Linked DNA regions of Anolis sagrei. The protein of the gene in region 2 binds, or shares a complex with, the protein of the main gene of each other region. Links are inferred from orthologs where the notes say so. Each region holds a gene or a part of one and is shown on either strand. Other genes may lie near its edges.

Region 1 (3,748 bases), on a different chromosome or scaffold from region 2:
AGTTTTCCCTTCCTCAACCAACTCGTGTCAAGCCTCAGGAGCGACTAGCCCTTTTGGGCAGGCGCAATGGAGCCGGAAGTGCATGGGCGGAGCATGGGGGCGAGAGCGCCCCGCTCTAGGAGTCCATCCTCGTCTCGGTGGCGCCGCGCCTGCGCAGTGTGTGTGTGTGGGGGGGGGAAAGCCATCGGCCGGCCTTGAGGCGGGAGCGCCGCTCTAGGAATCTCCCCTCCTCTCGGTGGCCACGATCAACTCGAGCCAAGCCTCAGGAGCGACCAGTTCTTTTGGGCAGGCGCAGTGGAGCCGGAAGAGCATGGGCGGAGCCTGGGGAGAAATCGCTCCGCTCTAGGAGTCCGTCCTCGTTACGGTGGCGCCGCGCCTGCGCAGTGGGGAGGAAGGAAAGGCATTTGGAGGGACTTGCGGCGGCGGGAGTGCCCGCTCTAGGAATCTCCCTTCGTCTCGGTGACGCCGCGCCTGCGCAGTGGGAGGAGGGAAGCCATTGGCGGGACTTGCGGCAACGCCCACTCTAGGAGTCAGCCCTCGTCTCGGTGGCGCGGCGCCTGCGCAGTGGGAGGAGGGAAGCCATTGGCGGGAATTGCGGCGGCACCCGCTCTAGGAATCTTCCTTCGTCTCGGTGGCGCGGCGGCTGCGCAGTGGGGGGAGGGAAGCCATTGGCGGGGCTTGCGGCGGCACCCGCTCTAGGAATCTTCCTTCGTCTCGGTGGCGCGGCGCCTGCGCAGTGGGAGGAGGGAAGCCATTGGCGGGGCTTGCGGCGGCACCCGCTCTAGGAATCTCCCTTCGTCTCGGTGGCGCGGCGGCTGCGCAGTGGGAGGAGGGAAGCCAATGGCGGGGCTTGCGGCGGCACCCGCTCTAGGAATCTCCCTTCGTCTCGGTGGCGCCGCGCCTGCGCAGTGGGAGGAGGGAAGCCATTGGCGGGGCTTGCGGCGGCACCCGCTCTAGGAATCTTCCTTCGTCTCGGTGGCGCGGCGCCTGCGCAGTGGGAGGAGGGAAGCCATTGGCGGGGCTTGCGGCAACGCCCACTCTAGGAGTCAGCCCTCGTCTCGGTGGCGCGGCGCCTGCGCAGTGGAAGGAGGGAAGCCATTGGCGGGTCTTGAGGCGGCGGGAGCTCCCGCTCTAGGAGTCCGCCCTCCTCCGGCCGGGGAGTGAGGGAGTGAGGGAAGGGGCGATGGCGGAGGAGAAGCGTGCGGGGAAGGGGGGCGGCGGAGGGGGCGGCGGCGGTGGTGTGGCGGGGCAGGTGCCCCCGGAGTCTGTGAAGGCGATGGCGGAGGCGGTGGGCCTGGCGGCGCTGCCCGAGGAAAGCTGCCAGCTCCTGGCCGAGGAGGTCAGCTACCGCCTCAAGCAGGTCGCCCAGGTCAGAATAAGGGGGGGGGGGAAGGGGCAGGGACCCCTCCCCCACACACAGGCACAAGGGGACTCTGGGACTCCACTTTGTCTTCTGTGCTATGCTAATAGCATATCTGACACTCTCTGAATACACCATCTCTGTCCTTCCCATGGAGCAAAGCATGGCGGGTGGAACAGACTCCTCAGGTCTGCCACACTTTGAGCATTATTAGACTGAGTCTTTTATAGGAATATTCTCTTGATGTCGTCCCAAAGCTGTAACCGCATCTCCATCTACGAACCCACACGCTCACTCCGGTCATCTGGGGAGGCCCTGCTCGTGATCCCGCCTACGTCGCAAGCGCGCTTGGTGGGGACACGGGACAGGGCCTTCTCTGCGGCGGCCCCCCGACTTTGGAATGCCCTTCCAAAAGAGCTTCGTCAGGCCCCTACCCTAGCAGTTTTCAGAAGGAACCTAAAAACTTGGCTGTTCCGATGTGCCTTCGCAGATTAGGAATCCCCATCCCAAGTCCTAGAAGCACTTTAGCACAACTATTGTTGCTGCACACCGCACTTTTAATCTTACGTTCCTCCTGCCATCTCAGCACTTTTAACCCTGCACCCCATTGCGCTGGCCGAACCAGTTTTAATAATGTCTTGATGTATTGTCATTGTGGTTATTTTGCTTAATTGTTTTGATTTGCTTTGTTTATTGTTGTGTTATGTTTCTATTGTATTGTATTTGAGGCTTCGGCCCGTGTAAGCCGCATCGAGTCCTTCGGGAGATGCTAGCGGGGTACAAATAAAGTTAATAAATGAATGGTAGCCAGATGTTGATCTTCTTGATTGGTGTTGACAAACACAAGGCTTGTGTTGACTTCCTTCTTAACATAAGGAAGGTTGCAAACATTTCCTTAACTTGAAAGAACCATTGTCACGGTTTTATTAGAGTTTACTTTGTAGTTCTTATTAGCAACCTTTAATTACAGTCCAGCAAATGTCACAGTCCTTATCAGAGTTGACTTTTCAGTTCTTATTAGCAACTTTTAATTACAGTCCAGCAAACAGGTAGTTAGTCATTGCAGGCCTTCATATTTTACTGGTGCTTCCAAAATTATTAAATCCACTCATTAGGGTTGGGCGGTTTTGTTTCGTAATTTCGTAATTCGTTAAAAATTCGTTATTTTTTTTAAAATAACGAAGCGATATTGAACCATTCAGGAGCAACTAAAAAACGAAACGAATTTTTCCAATTCTTTTCGAAATTGATTCGTTATTGATTTGTTATTGATTCGTAAATGTTTCGTTATTATTTCCGCATGTCTGGTGCACGTTTTAGGGTTGCTGTTTGTTTTCTCAGTGAAAAAAAAATATAATTATCACACCAACAGTCAACAACAGAGGGAGAGGGAAGCTTCAGAAGTTTTTTTAGCGTATTGAGCGATCGCGGCCGCCATTAACGAATCGATTCGTAATCGATTCATAATTGTTTTGTAATTGGTTTTTTGATTTCCGAAATTTTGTAAATATCGAACTTTTTTAAAGGAAAATTTCGGAATTCTTTTAAATAACGAAACGCAAAAAACCCCTAAAAACGAATCGAGTTTAGAAACAAATTTTTCCGTGTTTGGACAGCCCTACCACTCATACCTTCATCTTCCATTCTTCCATTCATTCCTACACATAATATTCAATTCACATTTCTCAAATTTTGGTGACACCTCCTCTCCCCCCCCCCCCAGACATCCACAAGGCCCCTTCGTGACGGAGACTCCCCTTTCCCTGTTTCCCCTGCAGGAGGCGCTCAAGTTCATGCGGATGGGCAAGCGGCGCAGCTTGGCCACTGCCGACCTTGACTGTGCCTTCAAGCTCAAGAATGTGGAGGTCAGTCTCTGGGGAGGGGAGGGGGTGGGGCTTCTGTGTGTGAGAGGGAGGGTCTTGGGGGCATGGCTTCATCGAGAGAGAGGCGGGGCTTAGAGAAGGGGGCAGAACTTCACTGAGTGGAGGGGCTCGCTTGTGAGAGGGATGGCTTCCTTGATTAGGGGTCTGTAGGGGTGTGGCTTTATTGAGAGAGGGGAGGGGCCCAGGGAAAAGAGGGATGTAGCCTGGAGAGGGGGGGGCTTCCTTGAGGGAGAGGGAGGGTTCTAGGCAAGTCTTTCCCCATTAGGGATTTGGAGGGGGCGGGGCTTCATTGGAGAGGGGAGGGGCCAGGAAAGGGGGTGTGGCTACTTATGGGAGGGGGCAAGCCTTTGCCTTGACAGTCCCTCCCCTTCTCCCCCCCCCAGCCAAGAGAGGGCATGAAGGGGGTGCCTCTTTGAGAGTGGGAGGGGCCTAGGGGAGGGTTCCCTTGATTAGGGGACTGGCGGCAGGGCTTCCTTGAGTGAGGGGCGGGGCTTCCTCTGGCCTT
Region 2 (3,748 bases):
AATTGACCTTGCTTGCCATAGATGCAGGCGAAACGTCAGGAGAAAATGCCTCTAGAAGATGGCCATATAGCCCGAAAAAAACCTACAACAACCCTTCAACAATACATTTTGTGGAAGTGGCAGGAGTGTTTCCTTCCACACAGCCATATATCCCAAGAAGATCAAGGAATACCAGCATATCTGCTTTGAAGTGGGTTATTTGAGTCCACAATGACACATACCCAGTCCAATGTGGGCTTTGTACAGCTGTGTGGAAGTGGCCGGAGTGTCTCCTTCCACACAGCCATATAAACCCAGATCAGCTTCATTCGGGATCCCAGTTCAAAGCAGACCATGTGGGAGAGGCCGGGGCCTCTCCTCCTGTCCTTCAAGGGCAGGAAGAGAGCCAAAGCGGGCGGCGAGGCCTAGTTCCCTCAGTGAAGCGCCGGCGTCGAGTAGCTCCAAGTCCCCGCCGCCAAGCTCCTCCAGCCCGGCGAGAGCGGAACAACAACAACAGCAGCAGAGGCCACCGCGGCGGAGACTGCAGCCATTTTGAGTTTCGTCAGAGACAAAGAACGACTGCGGCGGCGGCGAAGGAGGCTGTCAGACTGCGGGGTCTCTGAGTCGGCGACGGCGGCGACCACTCTTTTGAGTCCTCATTTCTCTTCCTATTTAAGACTAGGCCGCAGCCGGGCCCGTCGCCTGACTAAACCCTGGGAGCCATTTGCGCCCGCTTTTATACCCAGCCGGCGGCCAATCAGAAGCGGGCGGAATCCCTCTCCTCGCGCCGCGCGCATGCTCAGTGGCGGCACACCGAGGGAGACAGAGAGAGAGAGAGAGAGAGAGCCGGGAACCGCGTATGTGTAAAATGAGTGAGGAAGGGAAGGGAAGGGGAGGGGGGAGGAGGGAGGAGGGAGGAGTGAGCGCGCGCGAGAGGGAGGGGGGAGGAGGGAGGGAGGGAAGAAAAAAGATGGCGGCGGGCTCGGATCTGCTGGATGAGGTTTTCCTGAACGCGGAGGTGGATGAGAAGGTGGTGAGCGACCTAGTGGGCTCGCTGGAGTCCCAGCTGGCGGCCTCCGGGCACCACCGAGGCCACCACCGGCCTCCCGAGGGACTCCGGGCCGCCGCCAACGCCGCCACCGGGCAGCTGCTGGGGAACCATGTCGTGAGCGGCGGCGGAGGAGGCAGCCCCAGCCCCGGAGGAGGAGGCGGCGGAGGAGGAGGGGGAGGCAATGCCAGTGGCCAAACAGGGAGCCCCGGCACCACCACCTCCTCCTCCTCTTCCTCTTCCTCCTCCTCCTCCACAACCACTGCCGTCACCAGTAACGCCGCCAAGATGGGACTCAGTGGCCCAGAGACCACCAAGCCAGGTAACCTGGGGAAGGGAGAGGGAGGAGGGCCTCCTCGCCTCCCCTTCTCCCCTCTTGCCCTCCTCTCTTGCCCCCTTGCCTGCCTTCCTCGCTTCCTTCCACCCAGCTTCTCCTCCTTGTTGTTTTGGTCGCAATGGGCCGCCAATGTTCAGGCATGGGCCAACTTGGGCCCTCCCTCCAGGTGCTTTGGACTCCCAACTCCCACCATTCCTAACAGCCCCAGGCCTCCTCCTTTCCAGGAAGGGGCCTGAGGGTGTTAGGGATGGTGGGAGTTGGAGTCCAAAGCACCTGGAGGGCTGAAGTCGACCCATGCCTGCTCTACAGCCTCAGAGTCTGAATTATTCTTCCTCCTTCCCATACTCTGTTACTGAAGTGTCAGAAGTATGGGTTGATATTCATTACAACACCAGTTTCCCCAAAAGACCTGAAGTGTCAGGAGTAGGGGTTGCTATTCATTACAGTTTCCCCCAGAAGAGGAAGTAATAGGGAGGGATTGAGGGGCAGGGACCTGCTTAAAACTATGATAATCATAATCATAATAATAATGCCTTCTCTTCAGCCTCAGAGTCTGAATTATCCTTCTCTCCATTCTCTCTTGCTGAAGTGTCAGGAGTAGAGGTTGCTATTCATTAGAGTTTCACCCAGAAGAGGAAGTGATGGGGAGGGATTGAGGGACAGGGACCTGCTTAAAAGTATAATAATAATCATAATAATAATAATCATAATCATAATAATAGTGGGCCAAAGTTGGCCCATGTCTGCTCCACAGCCTCAGTGTCTGAATTATCCTTCTCTCCTTTCTCTGTTGCTGAAGTGTCAGGAGTAGGGGTGGCTATTCATTACAACACCAGCGTCCCCCAGAACCTGCTTACAAGTATAATATTTATAATAATACTGGGCCAAAGTTGGCCCATGCCTGCTCTTCAGCCTCAGAATCTGAATTATCCTTCTCTCCATTCTATGTTGCTGAAGTGTCAGGAGTAGGGGTTGCTATTCATTACAACACCAGTTTCCCCCCAGAAACTGGTGTTGTGATGGGGAGGGATTGAGGGGTCAGGAACCTGCTTAAAAGTATAATCATAATCATAATCATAGTGGGCCAAAGTTGGCCCATGCCTTCTATTCAGTCTCAAAGTCTGAATTATCCTTCTCTCCATTCTCTCTTGCGTGTCAAGAGTAGGGGTGGCTATTCATTACAACGCCACTTTCCCCCAGAAGAGGAAGTGATGGGGTGGGATTGAGGGACAGGGACCTGCTTAAAAGTATAATAATAATAATAATACTGGGCCAAAGTTGGCCCATGCCTGCTCTACAGCCTCAGAGTCTGAATAATCCTTCCTCTGTTGCTTAAACTAGGATAATAATAATAATGGGCCAAAGTTGGCCCATGCCTGCTTTACAGCCTCAGAGTCTGAATTATCCTTCTCTCCATTCTATGTTGCTGAAGTGTCAGGAGGTTGTAATGTAATGAATAAATAGGGGTTGCTATTCATTACAACACCAGTTTCCCCCAGAAGAGGAAGTGATGGGGTGGGATTGAGGGACAGGGACCTGCTTAAAACTATGATAATAATAAGAATGATAATCATAATAATAATAGTGAGCCAAATTGGCCCATGCCTGCTCTACAGCCTCAGAGACTGAATTATCCTTCTCTCCTTTCTCTGTTGCTGAAGTGTCAGGAGTAGGGGTGGCTATTCATTACAACACCAGCTTCCCCCAGAACCTGCTTAAAAGTATAATATTTATAATAATACTGGGCCAAAGTTGGCCCATGCCTTCTCTTCAGCCTCTGTGCCTGAATTATCTTTCTCTCCATTCTCTCTTGCTGAAGTGTCAGGATTAGGGGTTGCTATTCATTACAACACCAGTTTCCCCAAAAGATCTGAAGTGTCAGGAGTAGGGGTTGCTATTCATACAGTTTCCCCCAGAAGAGGAAGAGATGGGGAGGGATTGAGGGTCAGGAACCTGCTTAAAAGTATAATAATAATAATAATAATAATAATAATAATAGTGGGCCAAAGTTGGCCCTTGCCTGCTATTCAGCCTTTGAGTCTGAATTATCCTTCTCTCCATTCTCTCTTGCTGAAGTGTCAGGAGTAGAGGTTGCTATTCATTACAGTTTCCCCCCTTCATTACAGAAGAGGAAGTGATGGGGTGGGATTGTGGGACAAGGACCTGCTTAAAACTATGATAATAATAAGAATGATGATGATAATAATAATAATAGTAATAGTAATAATAATAGTAATAGTAATAGTAATAGTGGGCCAAAGTTGGTCCATGCCTTCTCTTCAGCCTCTGTGTCTGAATTATTCTTCTCTCCATTCTCTCTTGCTGAAGTGTCAGGAGTAGGGGGTTGATATTCATTACAACACCATCTCCCCCAAAAGACCTGA
Region 3 (3,748 bases), on a different chromosome or scaffold from region 2:
GGTCGTACAGGTTCATAGAAGGAAATATGCATGGAGCCTTAGGTAAATATAAAAGTTTCCCCTTGACATTAAGTTTATTTAGGTAAAGTTTTCCCCTGACATTAAGTCCAGTTGTGTCTGACTCTGTGGTGTGGTGCTCATCTCAATTTCTAAGCTGAAGAGCCGGCATTGTCCGTAGACATCTCCTAGGTCATGTGGCAAGCATGACTGCATGGGCCACCATTACCTTCCCGCTGGAGCGGTACCTATTGATCTACTCAAAATCAAATCAATTGATCTACTCACATTTGCATGTTTTCGAACTGCTAGGTTGGCAGAAGCTGGGGCTAACAGCAGGAGCTCACCCCACTCCCCAGATTCAAATCGCCGACCTTTCGGTCAACAAGTTCAGCAGCTCAGTGGTTTAACCTGCTGCACCACCAAGGCTCCATGGGACCTTACATTTGCTCTTTAATGGGAATGGAGTATTTATTTATTTATTTATAAGTTTTGTATACTGGCCTTCTCACCTCTCTTGAGGGACTCAGACCGGTTTCCAACCATAATATCACATACAATCAATAAAACATCATAATACATATTACAGTAAAACATTAAAACAGCAATTACAATAAATAACTATAATGGTTAGTCGTCACACTAAAATCGTTGCTCATCATCCTCCATCCATATCTCAGGGTGTTGGCTCACTCGTCGAATGCCTGTCTCCATAACCAAGTCTTCACCTGTTTCCTAAATGTCAGGATAGAAGGGGCGGTTCTGATCTCCAGTGGGAGAGAGTTCCAGAGTCTAGGGGCCACCACTGAGAAAGCCCTGTCCCTCATCCCCACCAGACGCGCTTGCGAGGCCGATGGGACCGAGAGCAGGGCCGCTCCAGACGATCTTAATAATCTTGATGGTTCATAGGGGAGAATACGTTCGGAGAGGTAAACAGGGCCAGAGTCGTTTAGGGCTTTGATAAGAAAATAACCTTTGATAAGAAAATAAATGTAGGCCAATATTACTAGTCCTTTTCCCATCCTGAGCCATGGCAGTTAAAGTGGTATCCAATGCCCAATAAGTCTACAGTGTAGATGCACTGAAGTATGGCTTTATGAGAGCAGTGAGGGAAAAGTACTAGATGGGGTCCAAAGGCCTAGTGTTCTAAACAGAGCCTGACACCTCTGGAGAAGGGCAATGTGAGTGATAAGTGCAGCTGTGGCTGCCTTTCTTCGCAGGGCGCATGCTCAGAAGTTCTTCGTGAAAGGACCAATCGCAGCGCGGGCGGAAGTGCTTCCTGATTGGCCGGGACAGTGGGACAACATTTCCGTCGCTTCCAGGAATCATGGCGGACGAAGAAGAGGATCCTCCCGTGAGTGAGGAAGACAGGGGCTCAGTTTGGGGCGAGAATAACATTGTTTTTAGACTTCCTATCCTTCTTGGATGCCCTTTGGGAGGCTGAGGGGGACACTTGCTGCCTTCAGAGCTTCCCTAATTCATGGCAAGACCGTGGGTGCATCTACACAGTAGAATTGATGCAGTTTGGCACCACTTTAACTGTCATGGCTCAGTGCAGTGGAGTGCTATGGTTTGTAGTTTGGCTAAAGGCCTTGTAAAACTACAACTCCCAGGATTGAGACGTGGCAGTAAAAGTGATGCCAAACTGCATTAATTCTACAGTATAGATCAGGCATGGGCAAACTTTAGCCCTCCAGGGGCGTTGGACTCCAACTTCCATAATTCCTAACAGCCCCGGACCCTTTCCTTTTCCTGAGGTTGTTAAGAATTGTGGGAGTTGGAGTCCAAAACCCTGGAGGGCCGAAGTTTGCCCATGCCTGGTATAGATGCACTCTGAGTATAAAATAGTTGTGATGTTGTAGGTTTTTTCGGGCTATATGGCCATGTTCTAGAGGCATTCTCTCCTGACGTTTTGCCTGCATCTATGGCAAGCATCCTCAGAGGTAGTGAGGTTACTACCTCACTACCTCTGAGGATGCTTGCCATAGATCAGTGGTTCTCAACCTGTGGGTTCCCAGGTGTTTTGGCCTACAACTCCCAGAAATCCCAGCCAGTTTAGCAGCTGTTAGGATTTCTGGGAGTTGAAGGCCAAAACATCTGGGGACCCACAGGTTGAGAACCACTGCCATAGATGCAGGCGAAACGTCAGGAGAGAATGCCTCTAGAACATAGCCATATAGCCCAAAAAAACTTAAACAACCCAGTGATTCTGGCCAAGAAAGCCTTCGACAATACATATAAAATAGATGTTAAAGCTATCTTGAAGCCAACAATTAAAATTAAATGATTAAATACAGTAGCTGAACTTAACCCCTGAAACCATCCACACTGCAGAATTATAGCAATTTTCCACCACTTTCACTGCTGTGTCTCCATTCTCTAGGATTTGTATTTTTTGTGGAACTGACAAAGAAAGGTAGATATCTCACAAAACTACAAATCCCAGAATCCCATAGCATTCAGTCATGGCAGCCAAATTGCTATAACTCTACACTGTGAATGTAGCTCTCTGTTGAACTTGAAGACCTGGAAATGTTCCGTTGGAATTAGACTGTGATGCTATAATAATCCTGTGCAGATTTTCCTTGGGGGAAATCTCACCCACTAATATGAAATTTATTTTGTACTAGGTGTATTTAGAATTTGCCAGTTTTGTCATTACAAACTTTAAACCATAGAATTATAAGAGTTGGAAGAGACCTCGTGGGCCATCCAATCCAACCCCCTGCCAAGAAGCAGGAAAATCCCATTGAAAGCACCCCTGACAGATGGCCATCCAGCCTCTGTTTAAAAGCCTCCAAAGAAGGAGTGTCCACCACACTTTGGGGCAGAGAGTTCCACTGCTGAAGAGCTCTCACAGTTAAGAAGTTCTTCCTGATTTTCAGGTGGAATCTCCTTTTCTGTAGTTTGAAGCCATTGTTCCATTGCGTCCTAGTCTCCAGGGCAGTAGAAAACAAGCTTGCTCCCTCCCCCTATTACTTCCCCTCACATATTTATACATGGCCATCATGTCTTCTCTCAGCCTTCTCTTTGGTAGGCTAAACAGCTCTTTAAGCTGCTCCTTATAGGGCTTGTTCTCTAGACCCTTGATCATTTTAGTCACCCTTCTCTGGAGACATTTGTTGGCTCATGTGGTATAGTTATCTTGAAAATATTTGTAAGAATTCTGTTTGATCAAAGCCATATTTAACTCAACATTTTCTTCTCACATTGGCCAACCTGATACATAAAGAAAGCCTACAGGCAGGACAGGAGCACAATAGCACTCCAAGGCCTGCTTTCCTCAACAGTTGGGACTAAAAGATCTTCCAGTACCGGTTGCCATTATTACTAATAGCCATTGGTAGTTTATTTATTTATTTATTTACAGAGTATATATTCTGCTCTTCTCACCCCGCAGGGGACTCAGGGTGGATTACAATGTACACATATGGCAAACATTCAATGCCAAAGACACACAACAGATATAGACAAACAGCCAGTGGCTATTTAACTTTTCAGTCGCCAGGGCAGCTGTCGCTTTAATCGTCCATCTGCGACACTTATGAAGTACTTCCGCATTCCCCGCATGCTTTTGCTGTAGTGCTTGCTGGAGTCCTTTTTATGGCCTCATAAATTAGTTAAATTAGCCTCCCCACACATAGGTGATACCTAATTTTCCTACTTGACAGATGCAACTGTCTTTCGGGTTGCAAAGGTCGACAACAAGCTACACAATTGGCCAGAAGTTCATTCCAACCCGGGCTGGCTT

What was found.
Region 1: TAF4 (region 2) and TAF6 share a complex: the UniProt entries of both Homo sapiens proteins name them as parts of the TFIID basal transcription factor complex. The link is inferred for Anolis sagrei from reciprocal best matches to the Homo sapiens genes TAF4 and TAF6.
Region 3: TAF4 (region 2) and TAF13 share a complex: the UniProt entries of both Homo sapiens proteins name them as parts of the TFIID basal transcription factor complex. The link is inferred for Anolis sagrei from reciprocal best matches to the Homo sapiens genes TAF4 and TAF13.

Annotation. Positions count from the first base shown.
Region 1 is NC_090026.1:540,106-543,853, reverse strand, and holds the start of TAF6 (transcription initiation factor TFIID subunit 6), read left to right. Parts: upstream 1-1,069; 5' UTR 1,070-1,183; coding exon 1,184-1,369; intron 1,370-3,138; coding exon 3,139-3,225; intron 3,226-3,748. UniProt on the Homo sapiens protein: The TFIID basal transcription factor complex plays a major role in the initiation of RNA polymerase II (Pol II)-dependent transcription.
Region 2 is NC_090024.1:232,167,588-232,171,335, reverse strand, and holds the start of TAF4 (transcription initiation factor TFIID subunit 4), read left to right. Parts: upstream 1-939; 5' UTR 940-949; coding exon 950-1,349; intron 1,350-3,748. UniProt on the Homo sapiens protein: The TFIID basal transcription factor complex plays a major role in the initiation of RNA polymerase II (Pol II)-dependent transcription.
Region 3 is NC_090023.1:40,844,511-40,848,258, reverse strand, and holds the start of TAF13 (transcription initiation factor TFIID subunit 13), read left to right. Parts: upstream 1-1,243; 5' UTR 1,244-1,324; coding exon 1,325-1,351; intron 1,352-3,748. UniProt on the Homo sapiens protein: The TFIID basal transcription factor complex plays a major role in the initiation of RNA polymerase II (Pol II)-dependent transcription.